Oryctolagus cuniculus: one gene and its partner. The protein of the gene in region 2 interacts with the protein of the main gene of each other region in a pairwise test. Links are inferred from orthologs where the notes say so. Each region holds a gene or a part of one and is shown on either strand. Other genes may lie near its edges.

Region 1 (4,341 bases), on a different chromosome or scaffold from region 2:
CTCTCACCACACCAGCCTGCTTTCTTGGCCCTTGAACACATTATTTTCTCCCCTGCCTCAGGGCCTTTGCTCATGCTGTTTTCTTACGCACAGACCTTCGCCTGGTGACTGGTCAGTAAGCACTCAGGTCCACCGTCCCCTCCTCCAGGGGGCCTGCCTGGCATTCCCCTGGCAACTCCAACGCCACCTTACACTTCTTTATCTTCCAGCTGAGGGTCGCTGTACAGCTTCCGGGCTGCTTCCCAACCTTGCTGTTCACGTGTTTGCTGAGTGACAGGCTATGTGGGATGAGGTGGCCCCAGCCAGCGCCCCCGCCCCCGCCCCCGGAGCACGCGTCCACCTGCCCACACTCACCGGGAAGGCCAGCTGGCAGATGGGGGCCATCCACGCCTGGCGGTGCTGCGCTGCCAGCAGGTGGCTTCGCTCGGTGGTGGTGAGCAGGAAGGCCCCAGTATCCCGGGGGCAGCTCTCGCCATCGGCGGGCAGCACGGACACACAGTCAGCCAGGCGGATGACCCGGCGCTCCCCTCGCCGGCTGGGTCCTGTGGCCCTGTCGCATGTCAGCCCCAGACCCCCGTCCCGGACCTCCCAGCTCTCCAGTCGAGCCACGCCTGACGAGCTGCCCGCGTACAGCAGGGCCCATACCTTTCGCCAGGACTTCTGTGGGAGAGGCGTGGAGAGAGGCTCAGCTCAGCAAACGTTCCTGGCTACCCAGGCTGCCTCTGCCTCCCCTGGGAGCACCAGGAAGGAGGCCTTGCAAGGACTAGGCTGAGTAGGGCTCTCCTCCTCCTCCCCTCCGCCCCCTGTTATGACCTCCATAAGTATCTGGGTGCACGCATGTCCCTCAAATGCCTATCCCCCTGCCATGGATTCTCAGGGCAGGCCACCTGACCCTGCCCTGGTGTCAGTTTCTCCCTACCTCAACCAAAGCAAGGACACCTGGGCCATGGGCTGGGGTTGAGGGGAGGCCCCAGCTTCAGGATGGAAACATGCAAATAGCCTCGAGCAAAGGAAGCAACCGTTTATCTGCTTGGGCAGCAGCCCGGGTGCAGGGCCTGCTGTAAGGAGGGGGGCCCCTTCTGCAGGTGGGACTCCACCTCGAGGGTCTCCCCCAGCTCAGCCCCCGGCCCTCCAGGGACCCTAGGGCCCCTACCAGGTGGCTCAGGTGGCCACGAGGCTTTGCCTCTGTGCAGGAGTTTGGTTCTAGACCCTTCCCCACGCATGGCTCCCCCATCCCTAAGAGAGGCAGCACTCTCAGGCCAAGACCCCGGTTCCATCCACTCCCCCACCCGGCCTCCCTCCCAGAGCTCTGGTGCGGGGCTGGGGCACAGGCTGAGGTCTCCGGCTCCACTGGTCCCGGGCGGCCGCCTGGCGGCCAGGGTCGCACCTTGCCAAACTTGACGTGCTGCAGGTACAGGAGGCCGTCTTTCACCGGGGTCTCTGGCGACTCCATGGCCACAGCCGGACCACGGGCTGCTCCCAAGACCCGAGGAGACTGGTGACAGGCGACAGGCTGGACAGGAACTCTTCACACTTCCCCTTCTGGCCACTTCCCCTCCCTCTGTCCAGAGAAGCAGCTGCAGACCGGGGGGGAGGGGAGTCCAGCCTTCGGTTAAGGGCTGAGGGGCCGCACGCGTTTCTCCCTGGGCGTCCTGGCTGACCCAAGGTGCCTCCATCTGCCTGGCAAAGGAGCCTCAGATCACCTTCAGGCAGTGACCCCTGTGCCGCACCTGGGTCAGCTCCATGTGAGCGTCTGACCACAGGCTGGTGCTGGTGCTGGTGCCCCTGAGTCATCAGCTCTGACCCTCCCCCAGCTAGGGCACAGCCCTACCCTCACCCCAAGGCTCTTGCTACAAATACTGGGTCCTGCTCTGCTTCTCTGAAGTACACAGTGCAGCCTAGCCCCTGGCTCCTCACAGCCCTGCCCACAGCCAGCCCCGGCAGCTCCCCATGGCTCTGCTCTGTGACCTGGGCCTGCCTGCCTCCAGCAGCCCCAACTCACCCTGACCTCCCTCCTTCGGCCTAGCTCTTGGCCAGCCAAGTGTCCCACCTCCACCTCCCTCAGCTGCACCCCCCCACCAGCCAGCTCCCCCAGGGCATCATCGCTCACCCTGCCGCTTCTTCCTGGAGGCCTTCCCTGATCACTCCCTGCTGTCTTGACAGCACACAAAGGATGTCATAGTATCCACCCGGCACTTCAGGCACCCAGACCTGAGCGGCTCCAGCCACATGGGCGTGCGTGGTAGTCCCCAGTGGCCCCCAGAAGCGGTCACGTGAACTTTTTAAGTGTGGCTTCCTGCCCAGGGTGCCTTTTTTTTTTTTTCCATCTTGCTTTCTTGGTGGCCAATATTGGGTCTGTGTGGCTGTCACCAAGGGGAAAGAATGTTGTAACCAGGCTGAGGAACGCCATCCTGGGGTCGTGTACTCAGCCAGGACACAGTTTCGAAGGTCCTGGCCACCTGGCTGTGTGCCCACAGGAGCCCGGGCAGTACTGAGCTCCGCCAGCCCGACTCCAGGCCCTTCACACCCTCGTGGCCGTTTCAGCCATGAGGAAGCCAAGGCTCGGGGAAATTAAGTAACTTGCCCGAGGCCACACACCAAGTGACAAACAGGGCTTGAGCAACAGCTGTCCTGCTGGGATCAGCATGCGGCCTTGCGAACAGAAAACCTGGCACTAGGGAACCGGGTGAAACCCAGCCCGGCTGGCGCCGCTTGTCTGCTCTCCTCTCGCCAAAGTCCTGGCTCTCCGGCCAGCGGCCTTGCGATGCTCACGCTTCTGTGAGTCTCCCCCGCTCAGCTGAGCGCAGCCCAAGCAGTCCTCTGCCTGGCTCGCCTGGGTGCCGAGGCCAACAGAGCACTGGGCACGGGGCAGCGCCGGGGCACTTTTTTGGTCTGAAAGCATTCCTGGGCCATCAGATGCCTCCTTGGCAAATGGAGCTGAGGGTTTCCAAATGGGTAGCTTCCCGGGGGGGGGGGGGGGGGGGGTGAAGCCCTGGGAGCAACTTACAGGAAGAGTGAGGCTGATGGGGGTCGGGGGTGATTGACAAACTGCCAGGGAGACCACGGAACCCAGCCATTGCCCTGCGGCCTACCAATGTGGCCTGGCCCTGAGACACCCTGAGCCCCCAGCGGGGAGTCTGCCTGAGGCCTTTCAAGGGGCTCACACCTCGCCTGAGGGCTTCTGGGAGTCGGAGGATGAGACCTGCGCAAGGCCCAAGGTCCTACACCAGGTGAAACACAGAAACAGGCTGGGGAAGAAATGACAACTTGCGCTTTAATGGCGGCTGGGGTGAAGAGGAACAAAAATAGTAACTCTGGGGGCACAGGGAGCGGCCCAGGCCCGCCGGGCTGATGCTGGCTTCTTGTTTGGGGGCTGGAGCCCGGGGCCCCGAGGCCTCTCGCAGAGAAGGTGGGCACGCAGTCGGCTCAGAAGTCCATGGAGCTGTGGGCCAGGTAGTCCTTGCGGCCGATGTTGCTGACCTGCTTGGTCTGCATGGCCTCGAGCTTGGGGCAGTCGGTGATCCGATGGCCGAGGCCCCCGCAGAAGGCACAGCCGCGCTCCCCTGAGGGTGCAGGGGAAGGTCAGTGGGGTCCCGGCCCTCGGGGCCCCCTGCCGGCTGTTTCTGGGTTCCCTGCCAGTCACCTCCGATGTCCAGCATGGACTCGTCTCCGCAGTGCAGCACCTGCAGGACGGGCGGCACCTTCTGCTTGGCCTCCAGCAGCAGGGCTTTGAGGTCCATCAGCACTGACTCATCTGCGGGCGCGAGGGGAAATCCTCAGGCCCCACTCTGGGCCCCGCGGCCAGAACCTGAGTGGCCACAGGGAGAGGGCCCGGGGCAGGGCTGAGGCGGCTCTGGAGACAGACTCACCACAGGCCTTGTTGATGAAGGTGGTGGCGATACCTGTGTTTCCTGAACGCCCAGTGCGGCCAATCCGGTGCACTGTGGAGAGAAATGGCGTCTCTGGCCCACTGCCCTGAGCCCAGGGCCTGGCCTCTCCCCTGCCAGGGCTGCCCCCAGCCCCCGGTCCCCACCGTAGTTTTCAATCTCCTCAGGCATGTCGTAATTGATGACGTGCTGGATGGCGGGGAAGTCCAAGCCCTTGGAGGCCACATCTGTGGCCACGAGGACGTCCTTCTTGCCCTCCCGGAAGGCCTCAATGGCCTTGGTGCGCTCCTCCTGGTCTGGGGGGTGGGTTGGAGCTGTCAGAGCCACGGGAGGAATCTGGGGCATAGCAGCGAGTTGGCTGGCCAGGCAGGGCAGGGGATTAGGTGAGGGTCTGTGCCCATGCATGTGCCACCCTGACCTTTGCCCCCGTGGATGGCCACAGCCTCGACCCCTT
Region 2 (3,797 bases):
GGCCCAGCTGAGGCCCGGCCGGCCTCCCGGAGCTCGGACTGCACAGTGCGCCGCAGTGTCGGTGCTCGGGCCGCACCCACAATCTCAGTGGCCTGGACTCCCCCTTCAGGTGTTCAGAGCCACCTGCTCCTCTGTGACCGCAGCTCCCTACTGTCCAGCCCCGAAGGCCCTTGCTCATTCCCACGGCCCACCCCAGGGCCCTTGCTCCCGCCCATTCTCTCTTCCTCGCACGGCTTGCTCCCACAGCTCACATCTGTTCACCTCCCCAGCAGAACTGCAGCCCAACTCAGAGCCGGCCATTCCTGCTCTGTGCCTGCGGCCTCCAGTGGGTACAGCTGGCGACCCCAGGGTGCTCACCAGCCTTGCCGGCCCTGGTGCCGCCTGATGTCCTTGCCCAAAGCTGGTTCCATCTCTCACTCTAGCTCACCTGCTCAGAGCGTCGAGATACTGAAGACTGGCCTGTCCCACCTGCTGCCTTGCACAGGCCCCTGGCCGTGTCCCTTGTCCCCTTTGGGCTTGTCAGATAGCGGATTGGCAGGTGTTCCTCACGCCCGTGAGGGTGACTTTAACTTCACTCCTGCCTCTTTTTCTGACTCACACTTTTCATTGCTGGCATCTGGGGATTTCGCTTGCTGTTCCACAAACTTGACCGTGACTTCAAAGGTCTTAAGAACGGCCCTTCCAGCAGTTTCAGGCGCTCTGTATTGTGAGGCCACAGCTGCTGGCAGTGGAAGCCTTACACACTGCCCGAATCTGCTCCTTCCTCCCCTGCCCTCCTGAGGAAGCCATCATCTTCACCTGGGCCCAGCCCCTCGCCCAGCTGCTGCCTGAAGGCTCTGTTTAAAATGCAGCCCCAGGGGCAGGTGTTTTGCCTGGTCTTTAAGCCTCCCACATCCCCCATCAGAAGGCCTGGGTTCGGGACCTGGCTCCGGCTCCTGACGTCAGCCTCCTGCCAGTGCAGACCCTGGGGAGCAGTGCTGGCTCCCGGTGGGACTTGTTACCCAAGTAGGAGACGTGGGTTGAGTTCCCAGCTTCAGCTGCAGCCAGGAGCCATTGTGGGTATTCAGGGAATGGGCCAGCAGATGGGAGCTCGCTCTGTGTCTCTCAAGTAAAAATTAAAAGCATCCTAGCCAAGGATTCCCGGTCTTGCACTGTGAGACACGGCTCGAGTCGTGTGCACCTCTGCTTTGTTCTGGACAGCGCCCAGCAGCCCGGGCTTCCCCACACGGAGTCTGCTGTATTCCCCTTTGCTTTTGGTCATTTCCGGTCTCCTTTGGGACTCCTCTTGGACTCTGCAGAGCCAGCCCTTCCTGACTGAGCCCTGCTCTGAGCTGTGGGTGCCCCCTCCCTGCTGTCCTCAGCACCTCCTCCCCTGCACAGTGCATTTGAATTGCTACTCTGCCCCCACCCTCTCCACTGGCCCTTGAACTCTGAGGTCACTGGCTTCTGCACCCTTGGGTGTGCTGCGGCCAGCCAGCAGCCAGCAGCCGTCCCATGGCACGTGTTCTGCAGGAAGAGCACCGCGAGGCCAAGCTGACCCTTCGGCCCCCCAGCCTGGCTGCCCCCTACGCCCCCGTGCAGAGCTGGCAGCACCAGCCGGAGAAGCTCATCTTCGAGTCCTGTGGTTACGAAGCCAACGTGAGTTCCTCCCCACCGCCGTTTCCCGGCCAGGCCTCTGGAGTTCCGAGTCCAGGCTGGCCCTCGGACCCGCCCAGGCCCAGGCCCAGGCCCAGGCCCGGGGCTCAGAGGCTGTTTTCTCTGTTCTTCAGTGCCTCCCCGCAGCATAGGGGCCGGGGTAGAGAGCTCTGGATGGGCTTAGCCAGGGGAAAGTGGAGGCCTTCCCAGCCTGGGCAGAAGGGGGTTCGCTGGGTTGTGGGACAGCCCCAGATTGGCGGGTCACACTGGACAGTAACACCCGAGTCCTGAGCCCAGCCACTGTTCGCTCCCACAGTATCTGGGGTCCATGCTGATCAAAGACCTGCGAGGGACAGAATCTACACAAGACGCCTGTGCCAAGATGCGGGTAGGCTGGAGCACGCAGGGGCCAGCTAGGGCAGGAGGCCGCAGGCGGGAGCACCGTGCGGCGGATGGGAGGGAGGCCGGGGCTGGAAACCAAGGCGGTGAAGGGACATGCACGGGCACCCCTTGTTCTCTCCAGAAATCCACTGAGCACATGAAGAAGATCCCCACTATCATCCTGTCCATCACCTACAAAGGAGTCAAGTTCATCGATGCCTCCAACAAGGTGCGCTTCTCCTGAGGCCTGTAGACAGGCGCAGGGGCCTTGTCGTCACAGTGATGGGGCTCCAGGGCCAGCCACCCGGATGCCCCTCCTCACCCCTGGTCTCAGAGTGCCCCTGGGTCCCTGTCATTCTCATCCCACCACCCTTGCCAGGTGCTTGCCTATCTTCTACCCTGGGCCCTGCCACCTGCCTCTTTCCCCACCCTAGTCAGCATGGCTTACCTGCTTGCAGGCCTTCGGTGAGCAAAGGCCCCTCCCCGCGCCATGCACTACCACTTGGGGTGCCACCGTCCTAAGCCCCTTCCCACCTCGCCCCTACCCTGGAGGCCGGAGGGGCTAGAGAAAGCTCAAGATTGGATGTGAACACTTTACTGCCTTAGTAGCTGTGGTCAGAGGCAGAGAGCCCGCACCTGAGTTGGGAGAGGTGGAAGTGGGGTTTGGCTGATGCACTGGGTGAGACAGAAAAGGCGATGGAGATGGTAGAAGCCTGGGCGGTGGTGCCGGGGCTGGGCCTGGGGAAGGCGGGGGTCCCAGAGCGCTTCCTGCCCGCAGAACGTCATCGCAGAGCACGAGATCCGCAACATCTCCTGCGCGGCCCAGGACCCCGAGGACCTGTGCACCTTCGCCTACATCACCAAGGACCTGCAGACCAGCCACCACTACTGCCACGTCTTCAGCACAGTGGACGTGGTGGGTGGCGCCCCGGCCCCGGCCCCGGCGGGCACTGAGCACACGCGTGGTCCACGGAGCAGGCCTGCTGCCTCCCGGGCCGGTCTCCTTCACACAGGGGTGAGGCTGAAGCACGGAGGCGGCCAGGGCTGGCCAGGGCCTGCGGGGCAGGGGTTTCTGAGGGCTGGCGAGGCCTCTGTCTCCCCAGGGCTCTGTGCCCGGCCCCGTGGCCCTGTCCCGGCAGCGCCCTCCCGTGCAGGTTTCCTTCCTCACATTTCTTCTCACACTCAGCCTGGGGCCTGTGGGGACTCTGCCCGGAGACAAGGCCCCACGGCCCTCCGGGAGAGCAGCTACTTCAGAAGCTCTGTGGCTCCTGGAGTACTCAGCTCTCAGCACCCCCTGCAGCCCAGCCTCCTGCTTGCTCTGGGCTGGCGGGGTTAGGAACCGGGTCTGGCATCAGACACCTGGCTGTGCCCCTTGCTGGCTGTGTGACTTGGGAAACACTTGTGGCCACTTCCTCATCTATTCAAAGGGAAATATGAGGGACTGCAAAAGGGTTTTGGAAAATGAAATTAAAAGGTAAGTTTATTTTTGGTACAAATCAGTTGAAATCCATGCATAGTTTTTATATAATATGCATTTTCCATGAACTCTCTGAAGACTTGTGTAGCCAACCTCGCGGTCGGGGAGGCGGGGAAGGCCTGGAGATGGAGGGAGGTGACCCACGCCGCACGCACAGTCCGTGGCCCTTGTCGTGTGCTGCCCGCTCTGTGTCGTATGTGCTCCTAAAACTCACCGTGCTGCATAAACCACACAGAAACACCATGGGGCTTGTGGGTAAGGGGTTAGGGGCACCAACTGTCAGTGACACAGTACAAAAAAGGCA

Evidence for each region.
Region 1: the proteins of ANKS1A (region 2) and DOK3 interact in a two-hybrid assay, tested with the Homo sapiens proteins (2 studies listed by BioGRID and IntAct). The link is inferred for Oryctolagus cuniculus from reciprocal best matches to the Homo sapiens genes ANKS1A and DOK3.

What each region holds. Positions count from the first base shown.
Region 1 is NC_091437.1:63,501,351-63,505,691, forward strand, and holds the start of DOK3 (docking protein 3), read right to left. Parts: upstream 2,954-4,341; 5' UTR 2,111-2,953; intron 1,681-2,110; exon of another isoform or gene 1,578-1,680; 5' UTR 1,454-1,577; coding exon 1,388-1,453; intron 661-1,387; coding exon 355-660; intron 1-354. Other genes in the region: probable ATP-dependent RNA helicase DDX41, read right to left, coding at 3,427-3,563, 3,644-3,754, 3,870-3,941, 4,034-4,183, 4,306-4,341. UniProt on the Homo sapiens protein: DOK proteins are enzymatically inert adaptor or scaffolding proteins. They provide a docking platform for the assembly of multimolecular signaling complexes. DOK3 is a negative regulator of JNK signaling in B-cells through interaction with INPP5D/SHIP1.
Region 2 is NC_091436.1:134,343,761-134,347,557, reverse strand, and holds part of ANKS1A (ankyrin repeat and SAM domain-containing protein 1A), read left to right. Parts: intron 1-1,512; coding exon 1,513-1,638; intron 1,639-1,951; coding exon 1,952-2,023; intron 2,024-2,158; coding exon 2,159-2,245; intron 2,246-2,794; coding exon 2,795-2,932; intron 2,933-3,468; exon of another isoform or gene 3,469-3,711; intron 3,712-3,797. UniProt on the Homo sapiens protein: Regulator of different signaling pathways. Regulates EPHA8 receptor tyrosine kinase signaling to control cell migration and neurite retraction.